7 linked regions of the Cricetulus griseus genome follow. The main gene of each other region encodes a partner of the protein of the gene in region 3 in a complex. Links are inferred from orthologs where the notes say so. Each region holds a gene or a part of one and is shown on either strand. Other genes may lie near its edges. The genes, in order: nucleoporin NUP188 homolog, Cetn3, Ranbp2, Xpo1, Nup153, Nup98 and Cetn2.

Region 1 (4,696 bases), on a different chromosome or scaffold from region 3:
CTACAAGACCCAGTTCCAGACAGCCTCCAAAGCCACAGAGAAACCCTGTCTCGAAAAACAAAAAGAAAACAACAACAACAAAAAAGAATAATCAGTCCATCTGGAGAACACTGAGCTAACCAGGTAATTCTAATAAAAACAGTCCTTTTGAAAGTTGCATTCTACATAGAAATAAATGCAGTTACTGTCTACTTGACTCTATTGGAGTGGCACAGTTCTCTTGTAAACTAAGATTTAAGCTTAGCAACAATAGCTTTTTGTTTGTTTGGGTTTTTTTTTGTTGTTGTTGTTGTTTTGTTTTTGTTTTTCGAGACAGGGTTTCTCTGTGTAGCTTTGGAGCCTATCCTGGCAGTCACTCTGGAGACCAGGCTGGCCTCAAACTCACAGAAATCCGCCTGCCTCTGCCTCCCAAGTACTGGGATTAAAGGCGTTCGCCACCAACACCTGGCTGCAGCAACAGCTTTTAAAGGTTTATTATGTAGTGTTTTGTATGCAGGTATGCCTGCAGGCCAGAAGAGGGCACCAGATCTCATTACAGATGGTTGTGAGCCACCATGTGATTGCTGAGACTTGAGCTCAGGACCTCTGGAAGAACAGTCAATGCTCTTAGCCACCAAGCCATCTCTCCAACCCCGACTTTTAACTCTTTTGAGATGGGGTTTTACTGTGTAGCTCTAGCTGGCCTGGAACTCAGATATTAGCCTGCCTCTGGGCCCAGCAATAGCAATAGTTTTTCATACCGTGGCGTTACTTGCTCACACACCTGTACCACTCAAGACTTCCAAACACCAAAAGACCTCAAAAATGCCAATCCAATATTCAAACCAACTTTCTGCCAAATTCTGAGTGACTTTCACAAGATTCTGAGTGGCTTAAAGAGCATCATTCCAGTGTCATCAGTGCCAATTCCTATGCACACACCTGCAACTGCAGCAGCAGAAAGGCTGAGGCAGGAGGGTTAGTGTCAGACCACACACAGAACATTAGGCTTCACAGTCATTTCAATAAGCCTCTAAAAAACAACACAAGTGCTCAGGAGGAGATGAGGGAAGCTGAGGCTAATATGGTTTGCTAGAGGGGCTGTATGAGCAAGCTCCAGATTGATAGGGAGACCTCTGCCTTGGTAAAATAGAGATCTAAGAAAAACACCCAACGGCCTCCATATGCACACACACCTGCACATACAAAAGATTAAAAGATTCCCATTTGGAAAAGCAGTAGCTTGAAATGGAAAGGTGACTTCTAAGGGCAACCACAAAGCAATAGACAAAAGGAACAAGATGGATGTTTTCTTGATCCAGATCTCAGGTTTTCAAATAGAGACAACTATTTCCAACTGCTAGGAAGCATGCTTTTCAGTGCCAAAAATCACTCTGCTAACAGACCAAGACAGTGCCTAGAATTCCATTGTCCTCAGGTTGTGGCTTGGTAGTAGAATGTTTACCTTGAATTTCTGAGGTCCTGGGTTTGTTCCCCTAGGACCTCAAAATAAAAATAAGGGGCTGGAGAGATGGCTCAGTGGTTAAGAGCACTGGTGCTCTTCCAGGGGTCCTGAGTTCAATTCCCAGCAACCACATGGTGGCTCACAAGCATCTGTAATGAGATCTGGTGCCCTCTTCTAGCGTGCAGGCATACAGAACACGGTATACATAATAAATAATCTTTAAAAAAAATTAAAAACCCTAGAATCAGTCAAAGAACAGCCTCAAGGATGGGTTTGGTAAGTTCCTCAACACGAATGAAAGCCTACTAGCAAGCCAAACTTTTCCTTTCCTTTTGAAAAATTCACTTTTTTTAACGTTTCATACACGTATGTATCCATAACTGTGGATACAAGGACTAGCATGAAACACCAGAGGAAAGAAAACCAAACTCACAAGGATCATACCTTATCCACAGGAAAATCCAAAGGAAGAGGCTGATTTAGAGAAAGACAGGCGATGTGTGAGATATATACATGTCTGTCTGCGTGTTTAATGGTTCAGCAGGGAACAAAACCAAATGAAACTAGCAGAGTCAATTCCAGATGACAAGTATGTTTAGGTTTTAAGAGTGGAAGTCTGGTCTGTAATGTAGAAGATGTAATAAGCACAGAGGTCTGATTATGGCTTTAGTCTGACAAGTCTTCAATCTGAATCCTCACGGGGATTATCACAGAAGAGGGGGACTATCCCTGTATGAACTGGACTTTTGAGCCATGTGTAACAGGAGGCACCTCTCTCTCCTAGTTGTCAGAAATGAATGAGATAATTCCTGCAAGGCACTTTCCCAGGGTCTGGCGCTAGTAAGCGCTCTTTAAAGGCAAGCAAGACTGGTAATTCATGTCCGTACTTTCCGCACTAAGGCAAAGGCAGGAGGATAGGAGTTCAAGGCCAGCCTGTGATACAGGAGCCCTCGCCTCCAAAAAAAAAAAAAAAAAGCACTCCCTAAGTGAGAACCGTGTGTGTGTGTTTTGTAATAATCCATCTTGTGTCTGAAGCCTGGCGCAGCTACCCGAAATCTCTTGGAAGATGAAGGCATGTCTGCTGAATGAATCAATAACTGGAATCAGCCAAAAATAAAAGAAGGCGGGAACTAAGGACGTCCGCGGGAAGAACCCGCGGCGTGGGCAAGGCACGCCCGAGGCGGGGCAGGGCGCGGGGACGATATGGCGAGGTTCGGGGAGGGGGGTGTCTCCCATGCGACCCCGAAATGTTCTGCAGTGCCTACAGGGAGCGTGCTGGAGGAAGCGTGAGTGCGGCGTGGGTCGACAGAGGGCACAGGGACCACGGAAAGGGAAGGGAGAGCGGCCGGCCCGCTCAAGAAGTGTCCTCAGCGCCGCGAGCGGGGACGGTTTGGACCTAACCGCCTCCGCTGCGAGTGTCCGCCCACCCAGCCTGGCCTCTTCTCCACCACTGCCGCCGAATCCCGTTCCCAACTCCCTCCCCGCTCCCACCCGGCGCCTCACAGCCTCCCCCGCCGCCGCGCCCTCCTCCGCACCTCACACACGGCCCACCGGCGGCAGCCGCCATCTTCGCGCGCGCGTCCCAGCCCCGCCCCCATACACCGGGCCCACGTGACCGAGCCCCTGCGATAGGGGCGGGACTTTCCGTCACGTGATGGTGGGGCGGGCCCAGAATGGGGCTGTCAAGATGGCGCTGCCCAGGGCTGAGAGCCGTCCGCGGTAGAGGCGGTGGAGCCCGTGAGAGGTGAAGAGTGCAAAACATCCGCTACACCGTAGGTCGCAAGCGGTGGAGGGTGACGGGGCGCAGGCTCCCAGGCCTCAGAGTGGCCCGAGTGGAGCACACTTTTGGAAGTTGGAGAAGGTTGCTGGCTGGGTGAAGCTGTTGCCCTCTGCTTGGCTGGTTGAGGCCAAAGCATCCCTTGTCACCAAGCTTCCCCAGGAACCCAAGGCCTAGAGACATGACCCGACAGTGCCCTCCCCCAGTCGCGGAGTCTGGGTTCCCGCTGAGTGGCTCGGTGCTGGCGGAGGCTGCAGTGGTGTTCGCAGTGGTGTTGAGCATCCACGCTGCGGTGTGGGACCGATACTCGTGGTGCGCTGTGGCCCTCGCAGTGCAGGCGTTCTACGTTCAGTACAAGTGGGACCGGCTGCTCCAGCAAGGCAATGCCGTTTTCCAGTTCCGAATGTCCGCGAACAGTGGCTTACTGCCAGCCTCCATGGTCATGCCTTTGCTTGGGCTGGTCATGAAGGAACGCTGCCAGACTGCGGGTAACCCGTACTTCGAGCGCTTTGGCGTTGTGGTTGCAGCCACCGGCATGGCAGTGGCTCTCTTCTCCTCGGTGTTGGCATTGGGCATCACTCGCCCGGTGCCCACCAATACTTGCGCCATCTCGGGTTTGGCCGGAGGCATTATCATTTATATTATGAAGCACTCCCTCAGTGTGGGCGAGGTGATCGAGGTCCTGGAAGTCCTGCTGGTATTTGTTTATCTCAACATGATCCTGCTGTACCTGCTGCCCCGATGCTTCACTCCTGGGGAGGCACTGCTGGTATTAGGTGGCATTAGCTTCGTCCTCAACCAGCTCATCAAGCGCTCTCTGACTGAAAGCCAAGGGGACCCAGTGGACTTCTTCCTGTTGGTGGTGGTGGTAGGGATGGTGCTCATGGGTGTCTTCTTCAGCACCCTCTTTGTCTTCATGGACTCGGGCACATGGGCCTCTTCCATCTTCTTCCACCTCATGACCTGTGTGCTAGGCCTTGGTGTGGTTCTGCCCTGGCTGCACTGGCTCATTCGTAGGAACCCCCTGCTCTGGCTTCTTCAGTTCCTCTTCTACACAGAAACTCGAATTTACCTCCTAGCCTATTGGTCTTTGCTGGCCACCATGGCCTGCCTGGTGGTGCTGTACCAGAATGCCAAGCGGTCATCTTCTGAGTCCAAGAAACACAAGGCTCCTGCCATTACGAGAAAGTATTTCCACTTCATTGTGGTAGCCACTTACATCCCAGGTATCATCTTTGACCGGCCACTACTATATGTGGCTGCCACGGTATGCCTGGCCGTCTTCATCTTCCTGGAATATGTGCGCTATTTCCGAATCAAGCCCTTGGGTCACACTCTTCGGAGCCTTCTGTCTCTCTTCCTGGATGAACGAGACAGTGGACCCCTTATCCTAACACACATCTACCTGCTTCTGGGCATGTCTCTTCCCATTTGGCTGATTCCCAGGCCCTGTACACAGAAGGACAGCCTGGGAG
Region 2 (3,896 bases), on a different chromosome or scaffold from region 3:
AAAGCAGCAGAAATAAACCAGGTACTAAGTGCAGGATTGGCATAGGGGAGCTTTGCACTTTACTCAGCAGGTAGTAAAGGCTCTTCTCATCAGTGTCTGAACACAGAAACGACAACCTTATATTGCAGTTTAAGGAAAGAATATTAGCAGTAGAACGAACAAACAGATTGGAGACTTCTAAGTCCAGAAGGCAATGGGAAGACTATAAGATACACCTATGTGTCTGTGGGAGACACACTGAGCACTGCACCTCATAGTCAGTCAGGGAAAGAATTCAGTAATATTTTAAATAGAAATCAGGGCCTGAATCAGAGTAGCAGGAAAAAATGTTTACAAAAAAATTAGAACTGATTGAAAGAAAATCAACTAATTTAGTAATAGTTCAAAGTACAAGCAGGTTGAGAGGGAAAGCATGAAAGTCTGAAATTTTAGTAAGCAGCTACATTTTGGTATTATTTCATCTTCAGAGAAGTTATGTGTAATATTTCATATCATAACTTGCATAGCTGTTTTAAAGATCTGCTTCAGTATAAATAGAAGCTCAGAGTTTGGCACCCAATTGAACTCCCATCTATTCAGGAGGCTGAGGCAAAAGGATTATCAGTTCAAGATCAAACTTGAAATAAGTTCAAGGCAACATGAGGCTCATCTTCAAAAACAAAAGAGAAAGAAAATGTGGGGGAGAAGGGAGAGAAAATTTGCTTGGAGTCTTGAAAACTCAACAGATTTTAGAAAAAAAGTAAGGCAAAACTTACTTTCTCCATCGCCATCTTTATCAAATTCTTCGATCATAGCTCGAAGTTCTTCATCACTCATATTTTCACCCAATTCTCTGGCAACGCGTCGCAAATTCCTCAAGCTTATTTTACCCGAATCATCATCATCAAATAGTTTAAATGCTTTCAGTATCTCTTCATGTGGGTCTCTTTCCAATATCCAGTCTGTCACTAGAGTTAAAAGAAACTTTTGAGTCAGAGAGCATTCATCTTTAAAAATCAGCTATTAAATGAGGTGAGATCTGTGAGTCTGACAACATTCCATCTAAAAGTTAAATATAAAGGTAGATCACAAACTCAGAGATAATACTAATTCCAAAGCCAGACTTTAAATGGTAATCTTTTAGTGTCAATAAATATTACAAATGTAAGTACAAAGGCCAAAAAAGAGACTACACACACACACACACACACACACACACACACACACACACAATATATATATATATATATATTGATCCCATTATTACTAAGAATTAAACTGGGCATGGAGAGATGCTTCAGCAGTTAGGACCACTTGTTCTTAAAGACCATATGAGTTCAACTCCCAGCAACCACATGGCAAATCACAAGAGTCTATAATTCCAGTTCCATGAGATCTGAAGCCCTCTTCTGACCTAGGCACCACGTTTGCTGTGATGCAAAGACACATGTGAACAAGACACTCATATCAGTAAATATAACACATAAAATAATTAAGTCCATAAAACAATTTTTTCAAAAGTTACTATTCCACCTCTATCAGGCCACTGAGTTTAAGTGAACAATGAACACTACGTAGGTGAAAACTGTTAGCCAAGTGACACCTTGATTCTTCCTCAAATTTAACCCAACTCAGATGTAGGGATTAATCAAAGATATTGCCACCACTAATACAAGCATAAAACAAGTTAGCACGTGCAAGTGCTATCAGCATCTTCATGATTAAAAGAACCTGTTGACTTTCAGCAACACTAAAGATGGATTAAAACAATTAAACCTGATCACACAACCCACAGCCCTGGAAGGGGGTCTAAATCATGTCTTTTTTAAATATAACAAAATAATAATTCTCAAACTAGTTAAATAGAAATGAATCATTTCAGACTTAATATATTAAACAAAGCCACATATCAACATACTAAGTATGTATACTTCAACATCATAAGCCTTTAATCAATAGTCAATAAAAATTGACATCTATAAAATTTGATATTGCTTAATAGAATTCTCAAAATATCTAGGTAAACAGTTCTGAAGCAACTCCACATGCTGTTCTGCTCCAGGGAAAGACATTTATTATTTTCATCACACCATCAAAAGTAATTTGGTCCTAATGGGATCTATAGATTCATTTGAAAATTTCAAATGCCTATAGCCAGGAAGTACTGGAATGTTTAATATGCCCAAAGTGGAAAAAATACAATTTAAGTCTTCTACAAGTTGTTGTCTATTGCTATTTCATTTGTATTTGGCTGAATAAGCACCAGTCAAGCTAATGGTACATATCAACTACACATATATCCAAAATTATCTTTTAGCCATTAATTTTATCCAAAAAAAGGTTTCCAAGAAACTAATTGAAGTATATTACTCTAAGTATGCAAATCAAAGCTCATAAATATTCAGTAAAAAGAATTGGCATACCTACAGCCATAACACCAAAATAAAATACCACACTTAACTCTATGGCACACACTCAACTTATTTTGAATTCAGTCCCAACAAGAAAGCAGGACAAGAAAAAAGTGTTATGAAATTTCATCGATTAAGTAACATCCATGACAGGTAAACCAGAAAGGCAGACTGCCGAAAATACTAATGCACTTAAAGAAACAACAGATGGGACGCCAAGATGCACAAGCACTTACCCACTGACACTCTATTAGAATTTCAGATAGATGTGTCTATATAATCACCTACCAATAGTCTCCTTTAGAATTCAGCTTTCTTAGGACTTGTAACTGCCCATAAATTCTGAGCAACTAGAGCGTCATCCAACATAAAGTATTTTACAGTGATATTCTTCCACACCTTCACTTTCCATTTCTGTTCTACAAGTACTATTTGAAAGAAATATCTTTTTCAATAGAAACAAACCAGGCATGATGGCTCTTGCCTACAATCCAGTAGGAGGACTTAAAGCAGTTAATACCCACACAGTCAAGGTATCACCTGTTTCACAAAACTCCAAATTTCTATCCATTCAACCACTTTTTGTTTTAATTTTCATACTGCAGTACTGCACTTTATTGACATAAAGCACACTATAACCAACTACAGAGACACATGACTTAACTACACTGTCAGAAATGTCCTCCCATCAGACGTTATAAAAATCATGTAAGGAAACAACTAATTCTGAAGCACTACATTGAAAGTAAATCAAAAATCATGAAAGACAATATTAGAAAGTTCCTATCCAAACATACAATACTTATTTCAAACTCATAGATACTGGACCTTCAAGTCCTTCCATAGCCACCTATGGGCTTTGCTGCCTCCTTGACCTCCACTGACTGAAGGGTAACTGCATCATTTATTCACTCTAACATAGTGGTAAGGCTTTGGATCCCATAAGTGCCAGTTACCACTGGATACTACAGCTCTGAAGACACTATCTTATTTTACTCTCAAACTCAAGCCTTTCTTTTCATCTAGCAATTCTGACCATAAAGTCTACAACTTTCTGTCTTCTCAGAATTTCTCCAGTTCATCTTCAATCTTCTCATCAGCTACTCTTGTAAAACATGGTATCCCAGTCTGTAAATTTTAGTACAATACTTAAGACTATCAGTCTGGCCCAATTCTGCCTTCCCAGTGCTCTGACCTTCTCTAGAAGAGGGGACCACATGAGATCAAACTTCTCCAACATGCTGAGCATCTATTACCACTCAGCCTTGTTGCTTTCTCTGCACCGACTGCATATCCTCTACTCTTACAATCTTCTTGGCAATTTTAGATTCCTGAAGATTTAAATTAAAATTCCCCTATGCAAAGGCTTAGTTCCTCCGATGAAGACTTGAGAGACATTTCCCATAAAGGGCCAGATGAAAAACATTTTAGGTTTTGGGAGACTTAAGCTCACAGTCTAAACTACTCACTCAATCTGGTAGCAGAAAAGCAGCATAAATAAATGGG
Region 3 (4,653 bases):
TACCTATAGGAGCCACAGGCATATGCCAACTGCATAGCCAGAGGCAAGGGAAATGATTCCTTTTGACTGACGGAAACCTGTTTGGTGAACCTGTTTCACAAGATCTGGTGGAAACCTGGCGTTTATCTAATCTCTGAATTAGTCCAGATTGAGCCTGTGTCTAGACTCAATTTTGGAGTCAGTGGGTCTGCCCTTTTTGGGGGTGGGTGAGGTACCCTTTGGACCTGGTAATAAGGTCAATGCCCTGTAGACCTACAACATTCTAAGCTCTCGCCACATCACTGCAGTTTTAATCTTAGGTCTTTGCAGACACAGCTTCTTTTCAGAAATTCTCACAACTCTTGATTCACAACCTTGAGACTATTACTTTTTTTTCTTTTTTCTTTTTCTTTAAGATACGGTTTCTCTGTGTAACCGCCCTAGGCTGTCATGGAACTGACTCAATAAGTCAGGTTGGCCTCGAACTCAACAGAGATCCACCTGCCTCTGCCTCTCAAGTGCTGGGGGTTGGTTAAAGGTGTGGTCCACCACTGCCCGGCAAAACTATTAGTTTAAAAAAGATTTTAATGTTTGTGTGTATCTCAGCACGTGTGTGCTCGGGTGCTACAGAGGTGAAAGATTTAGACCCTCGGAACTGGTTAGGGGTGGTTGTCGGCAACCAGATATGGGTGCTGGGAACTGAACTTGGGTCCTTCGGAGTAGCCAATATAACTTATAATTTATTACCGCTAATTGTTAAGTCACAAAACAGGACCCCAAACGGCAGTGCTGTTAACAATGTCGTAGATGGCCGGCCGCCCCGATTCTCACCCGGGGAAACAGAAACATTTTAGAATTTTTTTTAAAGATTTATTTATTTATAAATAAATGTATACAGTGTTCTGCCTGCATGTATGTCTGCGGGTCAGAGAGGGCACCAGACCTCATCACAGATGGTTGTGAGCCACCATGTGGTTGCTAAGAATTGAACTCAGTACCTGCGGAAGAACAGGCTGTGCTCTGATCCTCTGAGCCATCTCTCTCCAGCCCCAGAAACATTTTAAATTCAGCATTCCTCAGAAATCTAAGGATCCTGGTTTGTGTTCGTCAGGAAAGCCATCACTTCCCTTTTTTGCCCCTAACGGTCTATTACGCCGGGAAAAGTGCATCTCACCATGTAACGCCAATATTTCAACCATGTTTGGTTTATCCAAACATAAAGTCTTGGCCCAGTATTAACTATTATTCTGTTGAAACGAAAAGACAATGATGAAGTTCGTCTCTTTAAAAGGAAATCAACTTTTAAAATTTGACTAGATGGAGCGTCAAAAAGGTCGGACTCTCAGGGCGCTGTCATTTTGGGTCCTCTTTGTGATGTACCACTAATGAAATATATAAAGAGTTTTTTACACCCCCCCTCCCGGGGGGAAGAGTTATTCACATTCGTTTGAAAAGGGGGGAATATATATATATATAGAGAGAGAGACAGACAGAGAGAGAGAGAGAGAGAGAGAGAGAGAGAGAGAGAGAGAGAGAGAGAGAGAGAGAGAGAGAGAGAGAGAGAGAGAGAGAGGAGAGAGAGAGAGAGAGAGAGAGAGAGAGAGAGAGAGAGAGAGAGAGAGAGAGAGAGAGAGAGAGAGAGAGAGAGAGAGAGAGAGAGAGAGAGAGAGAGAGAGAGAGAGAGAGAGAGAGAGAGAGAGGAGAGAGAGAGAGAGAGGAGAGAGAGGAGAGAGAGAGAAAACGGTAACGTGGTCTGAAGGCGGGAGGCGACAAACAGGCGCGTCAGACCGCAGCGTGGCGCACGGTGATGACGCGAGTCGCACGCGCCGCCCCCATCCGTTCGCGACGGAGCTGCGTCACCGGTGTTCGGTGCTCACCTCCTGGAGACAGCGGCGGCTGTAGGCCCCAGGGCTGGCCTCCCGCTCTCGGGGAGCCTGGTCGGCGGCGCGATGAGGCGCAGCAAGGCCGAGGTGGAGCGGTACATCGCCTCGGTGCAGGGCTCCGCCCCGTCGCCGCGAGAGGTGAGCAGGTCCGGCCCAGCCGGCCGGCCAGCCGGCGTCATGGCTCCCGGCGGCCTCGGCTCCGGCTGGAGCGGAGGCGGCCGCGGGCGGCGTGGCGTGGCGCTGCTGAGCACCGGAGGCGCGGGCACTGCGGCCGCCCGCGTTTCCTCTTCATGGCGGGCCGCGGGCTCACTCGGGCCTCGTTGCCTCGGTCTCGGCGGGGCAGGCCGGCTTGGGGCGCTCTTCGGGGCTCGCCTGGCAGCGGCAGGCGCCTTCGGCCCCCGGGATAGACAGATCCGGCGACGCAGGCCGTGTCTGCCCGGGAGGTTGACGCCGCCCGGCGGGGGGCTTTTACCGTTGTGCGGGTGGCTCCGTGGACATGGAGCGGACGAACAGCCGCATTCGCAGGGCGCGTCGCACGGGAGGCCCTTAATTGGAGTCTTCCGTTGCTGTGCCCCGCTCCTTACATCGCCTTTCCCAAAATCTCCTTTGGAAGCTATCTTGGCTTTTTAAAAAGTTCTTTTACTTAAAGGTAGAAGGTCAGAAATTTTAAATTCTTTACAGGCAGTAGTTGCTGTGCCTTAACGTTGCTAACGTTTTCCCGTAACATGTTCCGTGGCTGTTTTTCTAATTTTGAAATCATTCATGTGTTTATGATTATTTTATATTCTTCAAGAGGGTTCGCCGGTGGAGATGTTCAGAGGCTCTAGAGTCAGTTTTTCTGGGGTTGAAGAGTCGGGTTTTGCCATTTCTAAACTGTAATTTGATATAGTATAGACTTTTCATCAATAAAAACACAGTTTTGATTCATGTTAAACATTTAGGGCAACCTTGAAATACAGCGAGCTTCAGTTTATCTATTGCAAACACACAGTTCAGTTTGTCTTTTTTTTAATTCTGAAAAATAGTTGTCTCTAAGGGTTTTATGATCGTCCATTTATACAAAAATGCACGGATGCACAAGTCCCTTATGCAAACAGCATAGTTTTCTGTTACCTTTAATCTTTTCTTAGGTAGTTTGAAAGAGTTAGATAATCCAGTCCAATAAAAATAACCCCTCAAAACTAGAATCCAAAGTGATCTTAAGAAATTTCATGTTTAATGCTGGGCAGTGGTGGCACACGCCTTTAGTCCCAACACTTGGGAGGCACAGACTAGCCTGGTCTACAGAGTGAGTTCTAGGACATCAGGGCTGTTACACAGAGAAAACCCTGTCTTGGAAAACAAAACAAAATTCAACTTCATTTAATGCTGTATGCCACAGGGGAAATTTTACAGCCAGTTTCCTCTGATGTGTCAAAATCAAAGTTCCAGGGCACAAAACATTATCAAATGAAAATACCTTCAGGTTTCTGTGTATAAAGTCTACATTAAACAAATGTATTTATATTGACTTGGGTCTTGTCACCAGGATATCTCATATGCTTGAAAATACTTAAAAACCTGAAGGAAAAAAGCAAAACCCAGAGACGCTGAAATCTATTAATGCCAAGCATTTCAAATAAGGCATACTCAAATAATAGTACCTAATACTATAAAAATAGTTGTTAAATTTTGTTAGGAACAGTGACAAGCAAATAATTTGTATGTATTCAGTTTTGCTTTTTCTGTTTCTGACTGGCCTTGAAGTCACAGAGCCTTTGCCTCCCAATTGCTTGTGTGCACCATTGAAGGTGTGCACCATGCCCAGCTACCAACATATTTTTTAAAAATACTTTTTGATGTAAGATTGGTTGGGTTGGATAGTGACCAACTTGGAGAGCAACAACCATAAGAAAGTTTGTCATAACTATTTTCATTCATTGTTCACTTTTGTGGCATTAACACAGTGTGTTGTTTAACCAAAACCCTTTGTAGTTAAAAAAAAAAAAAAGTTATGCCAAACAAGTTCTGTAACCACTAAGAAATAATGCCACAGGCCCTTCTTTCCTGTGCTCCTGGTGACCTGTATTTTATGTTTTGTATTTTATGAATTTGGTTATTGATATTTCATGTTTGTAGGATATTATATTTTGTTCTTTTGTGTCTAGATCATTTCACTTGGTGTATTTTCAAGATCATTCATGTTGTGGCAGGTGTTAAGAGTCATCTTTTTTTTTTTTTTTTTTTTTTGGTTTTTCGGGATAGGGTTTCTCTGTGGCTTTGGAGGCTGTCCTGGAACTAGCTCTTATAGACCAGGCTGGTCTCGAACTCACAGAGATCTGCCTGCCTCTGCCTCCCGAGTGCTGGGATTAAAGGTGTGCGCCACCAACGCCAGGCGAGTCATCCATTTTTAATGGCTGAATAATAATATATATATATATATATACTTAGGTATGCCACATTTTGCTTATTCATTTACTGCTGATTGACATTTAGGTTGTTTGTATCTTTTGCCCAATACATACAATGTAGCAAACAATGATGTAAAAATATTTTAGTGTCTGCTTTTAATTCCCTTGAGTTTACAACAGGTTTTCTGAGGAGCCCTCAAACTCCTTTCTATAGTGACTGTACTTTCTTATGTTCCTGCTGTCAATTTATAGGTTTTCAATTTCTTTATTTTTTTTACCAATGTTTCAAATTCAAATTTATTATCTTATTTCATTTTACTGAGAGAGAGAGAGAGAGAGAGAGAGAGAGAGAGAGAGAGAGAGAGAATAAGCGCTCTTGTGGGAGTCAAAGGAAAGTTTGC
Region 4 (3,896 bases), about 81 Mb from region 3:
CAGGACTAGAGGACTTGGTCTCAAACAAAACATGGGTACACAATTTGCTGTGGAGATGTTAAAAATGTTAGGAAACAGTATACTGTTGGTTATACTGTTCAGACACATATTCAAACAATAAAACCATTTCCTAGGCTGGTGTGGAACTCTGGTGTTGAACTTCTGGGAATCTTCACTCCTTAGCTTCCCAGGTGCTGAGATTACTAGCATGAGCACATTTCAAAATTAGATTCATACAGGCTATCCCAAATATGGTATTTACATTGTGTGTGTTCCCTGTGTGAGTTCCCACGGACAGTACTGACATGTCTGGCTTTTATGTTTTGTATATTAACAGTTTTCCAATTAAAAAAAATTGTCAGGCATAGTTGTATCCCAGTTCTTGGGAGGCAGGTGGATGTCTGTCTATATGTTCAAGGTCAGCCTGTCTGCCAAAACTACAGAGACCCAAATATCAAAGCAGGAATCTGTTTTGGAAACAAGGCATACTCATGCTTATAATCTCAGCACCTAGATTCACTGAAAGATCAACACCAGACTGCCCTACAGAGTTCCACAACAACCTAGGAGATAGTATAAGAGCAGCTAAAGCAGCTGGGCATGCTTTTAATCCAATCCAAGCATTAGGGAGGCAGAGGCAGGCAGATCTCTGTGATGCTCTACGGTGAAGTTCCAGGACAGTCAAGGTTAAATAAAAGTATCGTGACTCAAAAACAAAACCACAAAAAGCATACAGGTGGAGAACAAGCAAGATGTCTCAAAAATCCATGTAGAGAACAGGCACATATTCAAGAGCCTTTTATTTTATTTTATTTTTGCTTTGAAGAGACAAATACTAGGAGCCAAACCTACCTCCATGAGTGCTTCCCTGAGATTCAGTCTTTTTTCTAAAAGTTGACCATGTTCCTTTAGAAAGGTGCAGAGAAATAGACTGAGATTTTGAATAAAGTTCTGTTCATCATCTTTTCCATTTGAGTATGCAACTCGAATATTAGTATTTAAAGGAAGCATCTGGAAGTTAAAAACCAAGTTACAAACAAGTTACAAAACCACAAGAAAACAGTCTGAACTCTAAAATGACAACCCTATTTGCTGACATTAATCTGCACTGTATTTCTGGCCAATCTAGACCGCTGCCTGCTATATTCTTTGAATTTTTCTGTCAGGTTTTTCTCAAGACACAGAAAAAATATAAAGGTACACTCAAATGGCAAACAGTAATACAACATCATGCTTATCTTCCTAGATAACCAACAGATCTTAGTCTAGAGAAGAGGTTGTCTAGTTTAGACAAGCAATGTTGAGGACTGAGGAGGGAGAGATTGGTCCTATCAGGTTCCTAATTTCCCAATGTATAATCAAATTCAACCTTCAAATTTCTAGTTATCATGTAACGCCAAAACCCTTAATATTTTTTTTTCATTTTGAAAGTTTTATTGAGAGGGAGGTAAGAAATAAGGAAAGAGAAAAGATGTAAAGACAGAGAGGAAGAGAGAGGCAGGAAAAGTCCCTTTCTGACCCTTTAATGGCAAAGAGCAAAACCTAAATATTTCAAGGAAGAAAATAAAACTTTCAAGATTTTATATAATGTACATATAATCACACAATTCATCTGTATTAACTATTCTATAGTTTAAATCTATTATTTTTTATTGTTCATTGGGCAGTGCTATTGGTCATGAATCTTCCCATTTCTAATGCATTAAAATCATTCAGTTTTCAAAATAGTGGTATATTACCTGCTTTAGCTGCATCATTGTAAGTGTAAACAGAGTTTCAAATTGTTCCTCGTATTGGCTTACACTCACACCAGCAATCTCAGTGAGGCACTTTAGGGACACATTTCGAAACATTGGAACATTCAGGAACTATTTTATTAAAAGAGAAAGCAAAATTAAACAAGAGACATTTATTTTAAAAATGACAAAGGAGGGTAAGGGATGGAAAGCTGGTTGTGGTTAAAAAGCTTTTCAAGAGGACCCAGGCTCTACTCCCAACAACACCCAAAGGCAGCTCACAAGTAGCAGTCAAATGGGATTCAACACTCTCTTCTTATGTCTATTCCTTCTGACATCCAAGAGCACCAGACACACATGTGATACATATATAGCACGCACACATGCATAGTCAAAACTCATTCCCACAAAATAAAACACCATATACTCTAAGTACTGAAATGCTTGCTTTTCTTTGAGAGGCCCAGATGAAGACCAAAACTGCTACAAAGCTGAGGATGACTTTACACTTCTGAACTCTCTACTTGCTTCACAGGTATAGGGATACTGGGGATTAAGCCTATTGCTTTGTACACTGTGGTGATATATTAGTTATGATTTAATAAAGATTTTCTGAAGTTGATGCAAAGCCAGCCACACTAGTCAGCATAGAAGCTATGTGGTGGTACACACCTTTAATCCCAAGACTCAGGAGACAGAGGTAGACTACTCTGTTAGTTCATGGCCACACTGAGTTATGAGATTTATCCAGTCTAAAAAGAAAACAGCTCACATAAAGGTTGGGATCCCACACCTTTAATCCCAGGATTTGAGAGGTATAAAAGGAAGAAGCAAAGGGTCTGATGTGAGAATTAGTCTCCAGCCATGTTGATGACAGGATAGCCCTTTTAGTCTGAGGTAGAGGTGAGAGCTAATGGCTGGCTGGGCTGCTTTGCTTTTCTGATCTTCAGCTTGAAGCTTAAACCCCAGTATCTGTCTCTAGGTTTTTATTTTATGTGTTACAGTGCACACTTAGCAAATAGGGAACTACATCCTTAGTACACCTGAAATTTAAAAAAACAACTTGTTCAGTAACTTTCCCAGGATCTAAATTACTGTTTATGTTTGATTGGCGATTGGCTTGAGAACCCCATCTTAATAATAGTTAAAAACAACAACAATAAAAACCTACTCTGAGGAATGAGAATAGACAATGGGGAGGGGGTCACCATCAACTTACACATCACCTACATTGAATATGAGATGAACTTAAACCATGATATCCTTACCACCCTCCACAACCCCCAAAATAAGGTCTTTAGGATGTATATATTCTGTATACCCTTGGTGGTTGATTTGGGATTTATTAATAACTGATCTACAAAGTTCACTGGTTACTAATCTAGCTTTACTAAGGTTCAAAAAACATCCCAATAACATTCATCAAGATAATACAATGCACTGGTAACTGCTACAGAAGATTCCTCTGTACACTGTGTGAATATATGTTGCTATGACTGGTCAGTAGCTAAACAGGATAAAGTTAGGCAGGAAAGTCAAACTGAGGATGATGGGATGGAAAAAGATGAGTCAAGAGATGCCAGCTAGCTGCCCAGGAAGCAGGCATGTAGAAAATAAGGTAAGAAATCATGAGCCATGTGGGAAAGCATGGACAGTAATATGGGTTAATTTAAATGTAAGAGTTAGCTAGTAACAAGCCTGAGCTATCAGTAGAGCAGTTATAACTTAAGTCTCGGAGTCAGTTACTTGGGAAGTAGCAGCTGGTAATTTGGGAGCAGATGCTCTGGAGAAACACTCCAACTACAGGTAGCAGTAATTAGTAAGTGTATGGTATTCAAATTTCTCAGGCAAGAGATTTTCATGGCCCCAGTATTGAAGTATTTGCCATTAAGACTGACGATCTGAGTCTGATCCTGGGGACAGGCAACTACATACAAAATGAATACATGTAAACAAATTTCTTTTTTACTTTATAGGATTATCCCCTGAATTACACTTCACTGTGTGACTCAATCCAAAGAAAGCAATATGCTAATTGTACCCAATATAGAAATCTTGTTTGTTTTTGACAGCAACAAGAATCGAATCTGAGCTACAATCTCCAGCCTTCACTTTACTTTTTGTCTTGACCTTTTGTTTTGAGACTGGGTAGTCCTGGAA
Region 5 (4,545 bases), on a different chromosome or scaffold from region 3:
CAGAAGTCAAAACAGGAAATTAGAAGTCAACTTAATCCAGGAATTACAGGTACTTGGTGACTGACGGCACTAGCTATTTGACCTGACATTGGCTGTCCTGCACCCACTAATAGTACCAGCCTGCTTATTCTTATTCTAACCTTCTACCCCACAACCAAAGGTTTCATATGCCCAGAAGCCCTGGACACTTATCAAACATTAGTACAAAACATGCCATGTCATGAAGCTCCTTTACTACATCCAGGGTGACTCAGCAGCTGTTGCAAAACATCCAGTGGACAAGCTCGATGAAGTCCACTAAAACCCAGGTAAGACTAGTTACTTTAAGACAGAAACAAAAACTGAGATGCATTCTTTTATGTAACCCTAAATACTTTTCTTTGGTGGTTTCTGCCAATATTAAATCCACTAATCGATAAACAGTTACCTTTAATCCCTGTTCAAAGTTAAGATATTAACTTTTAAATTAAATAGCCATGGCTACACACAGAGAAACCCTGTCTCGGAGGGGTGGGGTGGGGGGATTAAACAGCTGAGGCAAGAAGCTAGTATTTTAGCTGACTTAACTTACTGACTTAACTACTTAACCATACAGCCTGAACTCGGGATCAGTTATAAAAACAACTTGGGTTTCAATTGTTAGGCATCTTCTCTCCCAGATTAGATTTTTATCTGAGTACATGTAAAAAATAAGCTGTGACCATAATTTTGTCACTTTGAATATATCAGTTCCTTTCTAAATTCTATCCAAACCATCCATTTCTCTGCTCATTTTTCTTTCATTTTTCTTTAACAAGCATTCGAAGGTTATTCGTTATTCTTAGGAGAACGCTGCCTTAACTTCTGCTGCACATTAGGTAAAATAATATGGCCAGGCTTGGGACCTGATTTTAATCTTAAAATCTGTTGACAAATACTCCTGCTCCTCATCCTCAACACTCTGTACATATCTAGGGAAAACGGTAATAGTGACAACCCTCCCAACCAACAACAAATAACTTCTGAGGACATAACTATAGCTTTTACTATTCAAAACTTTTCCTCATATCTTTACTTTTTAAACTGCCTAAAGTGATACAATTTAACATTACCAAACAAAAGCGTTAAGTATTCAAATCTGAGCACTATCCAGAATAAAACAGAATCTACATTTGACAGTATGCAACAAACTATTAAGACTCCAATAAACTTGAAACGCACACTTCCTACTTTAGTTCACCGAGGTACTTTTAGGTGGCTTTGTTACAATAAGTTTTTAACATTTTCTTAAATTCTTACAAGCAATTTTTAAACCCTGAAATTTTTCTCAAAAACCAAACATCTCATTTACAACAGAAATCAACTTTTTAAAATTATAAACATCCACGTAGGCATAAAGTGGCTTAACTATTTGAGACCGCCAACACTCCTGCTGTGCCCCAAGTACCTTAAATTTCTAGAAAACGCCCAGCATTAAAAATACTTGGGTGTATGAGATCAGAGCTGGAGAACTGGTTAAGTGTAGAGAATGGCTGATTCTGGCCTTCAAAATACTGAGCGGGGAGGAGAGAAGAGAGGAAGAATCGCGCCGCAGAGACTAGACGTAAGAGCAGAGAGGGACTTTCAAAATGCCTTAGTGCCACAGTAACTATAACTCGGTTAAGACGGGAAGAGGAGGAGAAGCTAAGCCAGCGTGTCCAGATCTGGAAAGGCCAACCCAGGGAGATGAGGGGACCGGACAACCAGCAATGTCTTAATGCAGCTAAGACTGAATCACTATTATTCCACGATCCGGGGAACAGCGCCCCCTCCCCAAGTCCCTCTGGGCGGCGGCGGCGGCAACTACCCTCCCCACGCACCCAGAAGCCGGGAACACCAGAAAGAAAAACAAATAAATAAAGTAGATAAATAAAGGAAGCCTGCTAGCGGATGGGCCTGTTACCGCATCTCTTTCCCCTTATTCCCTCGCGAGGTCGCGAGTCAATACCATCAAAACCCCAAAACCCGCCAAAACAGAAACCCGAGTCTCCGAAGCCTGGAATTTCTTTTCCCGCCCAGCGCCCGCCGGGGAAAGCCCCTGGGCGGGAGAGCTGGGAGAGGCCGCTCGCACCCCACGTGTGCGCCGCACGGCCAGGCCCGGCCCGGCCCGGCCCGGCTCTGCCCACTTCCCGTCGCCACCCCGGCCCTGCCTCAGGCCCTCCGGTCGTCTGGTCCGCTCCACGTGGGGGGAGCCGGGGCCTCGCACCGCCCCCCGCCCGGAGCCGCCCAGCGGCCGCGGCGTGCGGGTCCCGTACCTGGTGCTGGGGTCGCCCCTGCTGGTAAGGCTTCACCGGCCCCTGGTGGCAACGACGCGTCCGGATCTTGCCGCCGCCGCCCCCTCCGATGCCTCCGGCTCCCGAGGCCATGATGGAGCCTGGGCGGCCTCCCACTCCCGCTCCCGGGCGGGAGAGGCAGAGGCGGCGGCCTGAGGGCCTCCCCCGCCCGGCCCTAGGCGACACACAGACACAGCGAGAACCGCGAGGGAGCGAGCGGGAACTGAGAGTGCGCGCACGCCGGCGGCGAGGAAGGCGGTGGCGGCGGCTGAGGGCCCCGAGCTGGCTGCGGGCGGCAGGCCGCGTGCGGACCCCCGCGTCTGTGTTTGTCACCGTCTCTATGGAGATCTCCCGCCGAGGCCGGCGCGAGCAGCTCCGGGCGCCGCTGAGGCCTAGCTCGACCGCCGGCTGCTGGAGGCTCCTCTTGAGCCGCCCTGGCCGTCGCTGCCGCAGTCCAGGCCGCTGGCGCCGCCCGCCTACCCCTCCCCTGTGCGCGCTGCGCCCGCCCCGCCGCCGCCGCCGTCGTCGTCCCTGCAGTCGTCGCCGTCGCCGTCGCCGTCGCCGCCGCCGCTCTTGCGCCTATTACCGCTGTTGAGGCCGCCGCCGCCGCCGCGGTCGCGAGCCAGAACGCCGTCAGTCCTCGGCGCCCGACGCGTTTGCATCATCACGCTGCGACGATGGGGGGGACGGGCAAAGGAAGGAAGGGTTGGTCGAGCCCGCGCTCTCGGCCGCGGGGACCTCTGGGAAGTGTAGTTTTTCCGCGCAGGAACGCGGCTTCTGGGAAAGGCAGGCTGTCGCGGAAGGACACCCGCGGAGTGCCGCAGAGGCACAAAGCCCCGGTCGTTTGGCGGCAGTTGGCTTGCTTGTTTAGATTCAGAATAGCAGCACTCGGCATGGAAATAGTAATCTCCTCCCATTCATCGATATAAGCGGAATGGAAGTAAACAGTAAAATCGAAGGACGACACTGTGTCTAAATAGAGGGAAAAAAACAAACAAACAACAACAAAAAACTGCTTTTAAAAACAGTGACCGTGATTCCCTAGGCCTACATAACAAGTAGAAAAGGCGTTCGGCTTCTGCTGGTAATCCCAGCGCTTGGGAGGCAAAGGGGAATGAATGGTTAGTTAAAGGTTAGCTTCGGCTTCACTCTGAGATTGTGTCTCAACAAAGGCAAAAAAAATACAACTTCGTTACTGTTTCAGTAAACATTTAAGGGCTTTGTTGTCGGCGCACCGGCTGCTGGCAATCTGACTTGCTTCACTGCTTACATACTTGACCTTGGATGACTCCACTATTAAATAGTTGCTTTAAAATCCACCTTATAAAGTTGTGAGGAGCTAGCGCACTCATCTGTGGAGAGCACTCGGTAGACTTCCTGGTGTACAAGAAACGAAGCAAACGATTGCAACCATAACCTATGCAATCAACGTACTTAAGTAAGGGTGACGACTGCATTCCTGGGAAATAATGTATTTGCTTCACCTAGAATCAGGAAGGTGAATAAACAATGTACCTTCAAAGGCTGGATCCATGGTGTTAAGAGGCAGGAATTAGACAAAAGGTCTGTGTGATCATGTGATCCAGCCTATTCATTCAATGGGCTATTTAGAGACCCAAAGAATTGAAGGGGCACCAGTAAGGATACCGAGTAGGGCACTCAAAACCATGACTATAACCCAGTTTTCCATAAGACCTAAAACAAGTAACTAGATGATAAGGAAGAAGAATTAATTTTGAAGAATCACAGACTTAATATTCCGTTTGAGATCATTGTTCTAAGATTATAACAACTATAAAAGCAAATAGATGATTGAAATCTGTCACTTACTAGCTGTGTGGCCTTGGGGAGGTTACTGATCCTCTTTCTAAGCTTCACTTTCCTCATCTGCAAATAGAATGAATGTTTACCTCAGCGGGGACATGGTTCCGCTTATACTATAATAGCTGTTCCCAAAGAAAGCACTGAGGACCAACCAGAAGTCAGCTACCAAAAGTAACTGCCAGGCCCCCAAATTGTATAATTCAAATCACTATTAAAATCAAATTAATAAAAAGTTACTGTACCTTTGAACTCATAATATCTTTCAGCACGCACAACAGTGCTGTAACCAGTTGGTACGGGTTTTTGTCTAACCTTAGCCACAGAGACAAGTAGCAAAGATGATCAAAAGAATTCACTTCTCCTTCCCCGTCTTGATCCACCTACACTTTCCAGGTTTGTGCTCTCCCTGGGGCTACATATGTAAGACACA
Region 6 (2,902 bases), on a different chromosome or scaffold from region 3:
CCTTTCACATTGTTTATCCAAACTCCTCTGGCAGATCCAGGAAAATGACTGATAAATCCAGGGCCATAGCAATTCAGAGGCTTCCCAGAGACACATTCTCTGTGGTCTGGGCCACTGCACATGATAATAGGGCAGGTATAGTGTCACAGGATATACAAGGCATGAAGAAAAGAGCCTTGAAGATCTCTGCTTCCATGGCAGACAGCCCCTTCTATCTTAAACATGTCAAAGAACAAGGTCCAACCTTCTTCACTCCCAAACCCAGTAAATCAAGAACTCTTCAGTGACAAATGTGTTAGGGGCAGACATTCAGGCATCTATCAGACATTTGTTTCGTCACCTGTCTCGCTCCTTTCAAGAAGAGCTGCAGTGGTTGAAGTTAGGCCTTGGCATGGGGTGTGTGCCATAAGACTCAGAACTTTGGGTGTGGAAAAGAATTCCCTGTTTTTTGGGAGGTTCTGCCAAAGAGGTTTTATTGACCATTTTTCAAAAGAAAAAGAAACTGAATGGTCTTCAAGTTGGTAAGTGGAGACTTGTTTGTTTGTTTTTTTTTTTTTTTGCTTCCAAAAGCCCTTGTACGGTATGTTCAGTATTAGGAAAAACCCTGAACAACTAGAAGATGCTGCACAGGGCAGCAGAAAGGGAGGGAGGATTCCACATCAACCCAGAGACTGGCGAACAGTGTCAATTCTAACAATGCTAGGGACTGTGTGTAGTGAGTGTGAAAGGGCATGAATGTGATGGCAAGAGCTGGGATCACTGGCTCCCAACAGTCAGTTCTCGAAGGTAGGACTGTGTGAGGCCACGGAGTTCCTCCAAGGCATAGTCCTCAGGCATGGGGAGCCTGCCAATGTGGGGAGCCAACAGACGCAAAGGGACTCGTTGAGGATCTAGTGTTGCATTGGAGGTGGCATCAGGAGCATGCTGCAGGCTCAGTACTACCCGAAGCAAGTTGGCAACACGCTTGGCCATATCTAGAGGGAAAAATCACAGTGAGTGCTGACGCCACAGTGTGGGTGCCATAATCATAAAGACAGCAAGTAAGCCACAAGCAAGTAGAGCCCACATGCTTACCTGACTGAGCCAGGCGGTCCTTGGCATTGTAACATGGAATCTGCTCTATCCGGTTGCATAGTGAGGTCACTTTGGTGTGTAAGTGCTCTAGTTCATAACCTGAGCAATCCACCTGCAGGGAAACAAGACCAGTAAGGATAAAAGAAACTTTTACCTCAGTCCACCCACAGATTACACAAAATCCCAATGACAACTGACAGGAGGCAGGAGAAAAACCAACAAGCTTGTAGCAGCACCTGTGTTACCGCTATGTCACCTAGTTGCTGAAGACAAGAGAAATTATACTTAGCCTTGGGCTGGACAGGTCTTGAGATCTTGACTCACAAAACACATCATTTTGACAAAGCATCAAAAACCTTTAGGGTAAAACTGGTTCAGAGAAACTAAGAGATGGTATTCAAACCATCATTTACTTTAATGTCCTTATTCTAAGTTCATATCCCTTACTAAAGCAGTGCAGGACCTCCTCAATCTATACACTCTCCTGATCCACCCCTATTGTTCTAATGATAGTCAATGCTAGCCCAATATACCAATCTTCCAGTTCCGGGGCATGGCTTTTGCTGTAGTGTGGGCCACCATTACTTCTCACCTCAAACTACTTAGGAGCTTAGCCATACTACTGTTAGTGGTACCCTCTACATCCAATTTGTGAGCATTTTATAACCATTTGGTTTTTGAGATCTAGTCTTGATATGTAGCTCCAGCTGGCCTGGCTGGAACTCATTGTGTATTACAGGCTGGTCCCCAACTTTCCACTATTCTCCTGCTTCAGCCTTGCCAATGCACCTGGCTCAGAGACATTAAAGAGAAAAAACAAACAAACAAACAAACAAACAAACTAATTTACTTTTATCCATTACTTATACTCTGAATACTTTGTAGCAACATCCTGTCTATTTGCTTCAACCTAGACTCTGTTATCCTATCTTTCTCACTGCAGAGCACCCAAGATCTCCAACCATCTCCCTTTCTACAGGTTTACTCAAGATGCTTTCCCAGATGCCTTTTGTCCATGGAACTGTGTACTTATTGTCTGTGAATGTGTTGCCATAGGAGCAGGTGTAGGTCAAAGGACAACTTGTAGGTGTCAATTCTCTCCTTTCACTGTGTCTGTTTTGGGGGCTGAACTCAGGTCCTCAAGCTCGACTACAAGCACTTTTATCTGCTGAAGCCATCTGATCAGCTCTGGAACTCACTTTGAAGAAGCCTTGCAGAATTCACATACTATTACTGACTTTAAACAGCAGCAAACAAAATGAGGTCTTTGCTTTCATGAACTTTACAAACAAGAAAATATCAAGTAGTAATTAACCTTGAAGAATCAATCATAAGCTATGATAAGCTGTGGGTATAAAGAAATTGGGTGTCTATTTCAGAGTAAGGGGTGTCAAGAGAAGCATCCTTGGGGAGACCAGATGTAAGCTGAGACCTTCCTAATAAGAGAAGGCCAATCCTTCCAGGTAAAGCAAACAGCCAAGCCCTGTAAGGTGGAGAGAGTTTACATGTAACACATGAGATAAAGAGGAAAATAGCAAGACAGAACTGGGAAGGTTTGTTTTTGACGTTTAAAGATTTATTTTTATTTTGTTCATGTAGAGGAGAGAAGAGGGTACTGGATCCCCTGGATTAATAATGGTTGTGAGCCATCATCATGTGGGTACTAGGACCTGAACCTCTCTCTTCAAGTGCAGCAAGTACTCCTAACTGCTGAGCCCCAAAATAGAGATTTTTAGTGAAGACTGTGTTTCATTAAGTTATGAATGTGGATATTGAGCTATACTGTAACTGACTCCCCTCAGATTAGATCAGGTTCTCCTTTTGGTCC
Region 7 (3,847 bases), on a different chromosome or scaffold from region 3:
TAACTCAGGGTCAGATTTTGTGACCCAAAATGGCCTGAATCTCATTATGAAGCACCAGCATGCCTTGAACTGATGGCAATCCTCTTGACTCCTCCACCTATGTACTACAAGCATGATCACCTATCTGGCTTTTATTGTTGTTCCATATACATGGAACGAACACACACACACACACACACATCAGAAGACTAGAATGCCTCCATTAAGTTAAAAACCCATCGTTTCTTTCTCATATGAGCATCAATAAGTATTCAATCATTGTTCATTTTCTATTTCCCTTCAGCCCACCTTGTTCCCTACTTTCACCATGGAGTTGACTTTAAAGCCACATAATTGGGTTTCTCTCATAGGCAATGCTATGCAGGGCTTAGAGGGCTCCTGGATATTACCCCTTTTCTTCTGAACCCAATCCTAAGATGCTATGAGATGCTATAAGCAAATAAGCTCACAAGATTGCCTGAATCTTACTACTGTCTAGCTCTCTCCTTTTTGTCCAAGCACAAATTACCCAGAAGACTCTCTAAGCTTTACAGTTTGATGGAAGAAGTTTTAGGGCTTAGGTCATATGGAAATCCTATCAGTTGTAAAAATAACTTTTGAAAGCAAGAAACTTTCCATGGCAGAAAAGTAGCAAAGAATTAATTCCTTTTTTGTCCATAGGCTGATAGCAAATTTTGTATATCTATGAGGCTGCCCTCAACAGAATTGTTTACAAGATGAAATCACAGTTAAAGGTTAAAAACACTCATCCCTTTAAAGAATGAGAGCTTAAATTAAGAAAAGTTTTATTTTTAAAACAAAACAAATGCATTAACACATATCTAAATGCCATAACAAGCATTCGTTGGGTTTTATGTGAGGAAAAAACTGCACTCTGGTGTCAACTAAAAACTAGAACAATTTTAGAACAACCACTGTTTATTGTGACATGGCTACATGGACATCTAAGAAGCCATTGTGTGTTTGCAGCTGTGTGAAAATGCATAAGCAATGTGAACTAATGGAAAGTGGAGTGGCTGCAGTCACACTTTCACACCCTTTCCCCACTATGTGCTCTTGTTCTGCCCTGTTTAATTAGTCAGCAGGGAAATGTACAAAGAACTTAATATCAAAGAAACTTCCAAAAGTCAAAAATAGATTCAGGGGCATGGCTAGTTAACCCACAGGTTGGGGAAGGAGGGTTCTCAAAAGCCGTATTTCACAAAATGGCAGGCACTAAATCTAGTCACATGTGCTTGAAGTAGAAAAAGAAGCAGTGATCTTAATAGAGACTGGTCTTCTTCATGATGCGCAGGAACTCTTGCTCATTGACCTCGCCATCTCCATCTCGATCAGCTTCATCAATCATTTCCTGCACAGCAGTAAGGGTTCATCTTAGATTAAGTCACAAACTAAACTGAAAACAGGTTAGATAAGGAACTCCTGGAACCCAGTTGCAAAGAGGGAGATGTGAAGAGCAAAGAGGTCAAGACCAGGCTGGTGAAACCCACAGAAACAGCTGTCCTGAACAAGGCATTGCTCATGGACCCCAGACTAATAGTGGGAAACCAGCATAGGACTGATCCAGACCCCCTGAATGTGGGTATCAGTGAGGAGGTCTCGACACTCTATGGGACCTCTGGTAGTAGACCGGTATTTATCCCTGGGGTTATTAATGGACTTTGGTAGCCCATTCCACATGGAGAGATGTGCTCCCAGCCTGGACACATGGGGAGAGCCTAGGCCCTGACCCAATGATATGACAGAATTTGGCAATCCCCCATGTAGGGCCTCACCCTCCTTGGGTACAGGAACAGGGATGGGGTGAGGGTTTCGTGGGATGTGGGGGAGGAGGGGAGGGAGAGACAGCTGGGATTGACATGTGAAGCAGGCTTGTTTCTAATTTAAATAAAAATAAATTTAAAAAAAGAAACTTCAAATAATGCTATAAGGAAAGATAACTATGGTCCATCTAATGTGAGTGTGCCACTTTTTATGATAGTTATTTGAAACCAAATCACATATATTGTCAAATGTATCAATTGAAAAGTAACCCTGGCCTGAAACCCAAAAGAGGAAATTCAGCTGCACATGTGTACTCCAGAAGCAGGGTCCATGGGCATTTAATTATCACTAGAGGCATAAGAAGTTTTCCTAGTAGAGAAAATAGAACCTGGGAAAGCCAGGGGGCTCCAACGTGAGGTTTCGAGTTTCTAACTGAAGCTTTACGCACCTGCAGTTCTTCATCAGTCAAGTTCTCGCCTAACTCCTTGGCCACACGCTTTAGATTTTTGAATGATATTTTCCCAGTTTCATCATCATCAAAGAGCTTGAAAGCTTTCAGGATTTCTTCTTTGGTGTCTTTCTCGGACTTTAGTAGAACAGAAAACAGATAGTTATTCATATCCTACAGTCCTGCCACTTCTTGGTCATCCTTTTGTTTCCAAAAACCTGACCTGGGCCATGTTAGGAAGGCAGGCAAGTCAGGTTCTCTGGTCCACGGTGGAATGTACTCTCTGTCTACTTCCTATCCTAACATGTATTCCATAATCAGCTCATAATTCAGTAAGAACAGATGCCAGCTTGGTGGAAAAGCCAAGAAGTTCTGATAAACGGGCACAAGGATTGGTTTGAGGGGTCAATGAGACATGTAGGGAGGACAGAGTCCTAGGGCAGCTGGACAGTTTCCACAGGTAGAAGACAAGGGCTTCTGACATGAGCTGGGGCTCATCTTTCCAACACCCAACACTGGATATTACTAGGTATCTATACGGATTGCCCTTCTTTTGCTTTGTCTTGTTCAGAACTTTCCCCAGTTCTAAAGCCAAGGGGGTAGTTTTAGGGAAACTATCTTCTTCGATTAATTCCCTGGCCCCCATCACACATCATCACATGGTCCTGGTGATAGCCCTTGTGATATATGCCTTCAGTTACAGAAAAAAGTAAGACCCATTATAGAAAAAGAAAACAAACTCAGTAAACTTAACATAAACTCTGGGATTACAAAGGAAATATAATTGTATCTAAAACACTGTACAGACCAAGGAGATTCTAGATTCTTTTTTACATTTTTAAAAGCAGCAAATAGGGTTATAATTAGAGAAAATACACTGCTAATGCTAACAGAAGTTAGAGATATACTTATAAGGGCATTTTTAATAAGAGAGGCATTTTGCACAATGGACTTCAAAGAATTACTGGGTCTCTGAGTACTCTAACAGAAAGAGTAGAATTTTCCAAAGCATTTAAACCTCAAATGTTTAATGAAGGTTCTTGCCAGGAGTTACAACTAGAGAACTAGTTAGAGCAATCTAGGAGCCAATCTTGAGTATGAAATGGATTTGCTAGAGAGCTGCAGAATACCAAGCTTCCTGATCTCTTAAATCAGTACACACATGCACATACATGAATGCAGATGTAGATACGGTGATTTCAAAACAATTCCCAACCTGTGCCTGGGAAACACTTTGAGGAACTTGAAAGGGTAACCTTTCTTCAGGTATACTGAGAGAAGGAGCCACACCAATAAGCCAGAAGGCCAATGTAAGAGCAAAGTTGGTCTGCTAAAAGGATCTAAGAAACTAGGAATAGATGAAAGGAACCTTAGAAGTACCAAAACACCTTATCTATTCTAAAGCTCAAAATTCTTGTGCCTGTGATTGTACATACTGAATTGTCAAAATGAGAAGCATTTGTCCGAAAAATGTCACAATACCTGATTTATTGTATGCTAATCTAATTTTAATAATATTAAAATAAAAATGAGAAGCATATGAAAATCTCTGTGTTAACATGTTTTAATGCTTGTGATTATCATATGGTCATATGAGACAAGGTAAAATGATTTCTGTGATACCGTAACCCTAAA

The links.
Region 1: Ranbp2 (region 3) and nucleoporin NUP188 homolog share a complex: the UniProt entries of both Homo sapiens proteins name them as parts of the nuclear pore complex. The link is inferred for Cricetulus griseus from reciprocal best matches to the Homo sapiens genes RANBP2 and NUP188.
Region 2: Ranbp2 (region 3) and Cetn3 share a complex: the UniProt entries of both Homo sapiens proteins name them as parts of the nuclear pore complex. The link is inferred for Cricetulus griseus from reciprocal best matches to the Homo sapiens genes RANBP2 and CETN3.
Region 4: the proteins of Ranbp2 (region 3) and Xpo1 are in contact, whole or in part, in a cryo-EM structure (PDB 9B62), measured with the Homo sapiens proteins. The link is inferred for Cricetulus griseus from reciprocal best matches to the Homo sapiens genes RANBP2 and XPO1. Residues at the interface, in NP_006258.3 of Homo sapiens: Val2508, Val2509, Ser2510, Pro2511, Pro2512, Lys2513, Phe2514, Val2515, Phe2516, Gly2841, Phe2842, Gly2843, Ser2845, Thr2846, Gly2847, Leu2848, Ser2849, Phe2850, Ala2851, Leu2853, Ala2854, Asn2857, Ser2858, Gly2859, Asp2860, Phe2861, Ala2862, Phe2863, Gly2864, Ser2865; in NP_003391.1 of Homo sapiens: Trp60, Val63, Asp64, Leu83, Asn97, Gln98, Gly101, Ile102, Lys104, Tyr105, Val107, Gly108, Ile110, Ile111, Leu134, Phe149, Asp152, Ile153, Gly155, Ala156, Ser157, Arg158, Thr159, Ser160, Glu161, Leu163, Cys164, Asn167, Leu208, Phe211.
Region 5: Ranbp2 (region 3) and Nup153 share a complex: the UniProt entries of both Homo sapiens proteins name them as parts of the nuclear pore complex. The link is inferred for Cricetulus griseus from reciprocal best matches to the Homo sapiens genes RANBP2 and NUP153.
Region 6: Ranbp2 (region 3) and Nup98 share a complex: the UniProt entries of both Homo sapiens proteins name them as parts of the nuclear pore complex. The link is inferred for Cricetulus griseus from reciprocal best matches to the Homo sapiens genes RANBP2 and NUP98.
Region 7: Ranbp2 (region 3) and Cetn2 share a complex: the UniProt entries of both Homo sapiens proteins name them as parts of the nuclear pore complex. The link is inferred for Cricetulus griseus from reciprocal best matches to the Homo sapiens genes RANBP2 and CETN2.

Annotation. Positions count from the first base shown.
Region 1 is NC_048599.1:141,944,812-141,949,507, reverse strand, and holds the start of nucleoporin NUP188 homolog, read right to left. Parts: upstream 3,042-4,696; 5' UTR 3,012-3,041; coding exon 2,980-3,011; intron 1-2,979. Other genes in the region: Dolk (dolichol kinase), read left to right, coding at 3,403-4,696. UniProt on the Homo sapiens protein: Component of the nuclear pore complex (NPC), a complex required for the trafficking across the nuclear envelope. Required for proper protein transport into the nucleus.
Region 2 is NC_048595.1:302,239,259-302,243,154, reverse strand, and holds part of Cetn3 (centrin-3), read right to left. Parts: intron 948-3,896; coding exon 756-947; intron 1-755. UniProt on the Homo sapiens protein: Plays a fundamental role in microtubule-organizing center structure and function. As a component of the TREX-2 complex, involved in the export of mRNAs to the cytoplasm through the nuclear pores.
Region 3 is NW_023276807.1:2,653,905-2,658,557, reverse strand, and holds the start of Ranbp2 (E3 SUMO-protein ligase RanBP2), read left to right. Parts: upstream 1-1,815; 5' UTR 1,816-1,928; coding exon 1,929-2,000; intron 2,001-4,653. UniProt on the Homo sapiens protein: E3 SUMO-protein ligase which facilitates SUMO1 and SUMO2 conjugation by UBE2I. Involved in transport factor (Ran-GTP, karyopherin)-mediated protein import via the F-G repeat-containing domain which acts as a docking site for substrates.
Region 4 is NW_023276807.1:83,488,342-83,492,237, forward strand, and holds part of Xpo1 (exportin-1), read right to left. Parts: intron 1,869-3,896; coding exon 1,740-1,868; intron 1,012-1,739; coding exon 853-1,011; intron 1-852. UniProt on the Homo sapiens protein: Mediates the nuclear export of cellular proteins (cargos) bearing a leucine-rich nuclear export signal (NES) and of RNAs.
Region 5 is NC_048596.1:266,427,401-266,431,945, forward strand, and holds the start of Nup153 (nuclear pore complex protein Nup153), read right to left. Parts: upstream 2,913-4,545; 5' UTR 2,385-2,912; coding exon 2,274-2,384; intron 1-2,273. UniProt on the Homo sapiens protein: Component of the nuclear pore complex (NPC), a complex required for the trafficking across the nuclear envelope. Functions as a scaffolding element in the nuclear phase of the NPC essential for normal nucleocytoplasmic transport of proteins and mRNAs.
Region 6 is NC_048596.1:97,257,028-97,259,929, reverse strand, and holds the end of Nup98 (nuclear pore complex protein Nup98-Nup96), read right to left. Parts: intron 1,187-2,902; coding exon 1,075-1,186; intron 975-1,074; coding exon 757-974; 3' UTR 545-756; downstream 1-544. UniProt on the Homo sapiens protein: Plays a role in the nuclear pore complex (NPC) assembly and/or maintenance. NUP98 and NUP96 are involved in the bidirectional transport across the NPC. May anchor NUP153 and TPR to the NPC.
Region 7 is NC_048604.1:2,891,198-2,895,044, reverse strand, and holds the end of Cetn2 (centrin-2), read right to left. Parts: intron 2,351-3,847; coding exon 2,213-2,350; intron 1,352-2,212; coding exon 1,262-1,351; 3' UTR 769-1,261; downstream 1-768. UniProt on the Homo sapiens protein: Plays a fundamental role in microtubule organizing center structure and function. Required for centriole duplication and correct spindle formation. Has a role in regulating cytokinesis and genome stability via cooperation with CALM1 and CCP110.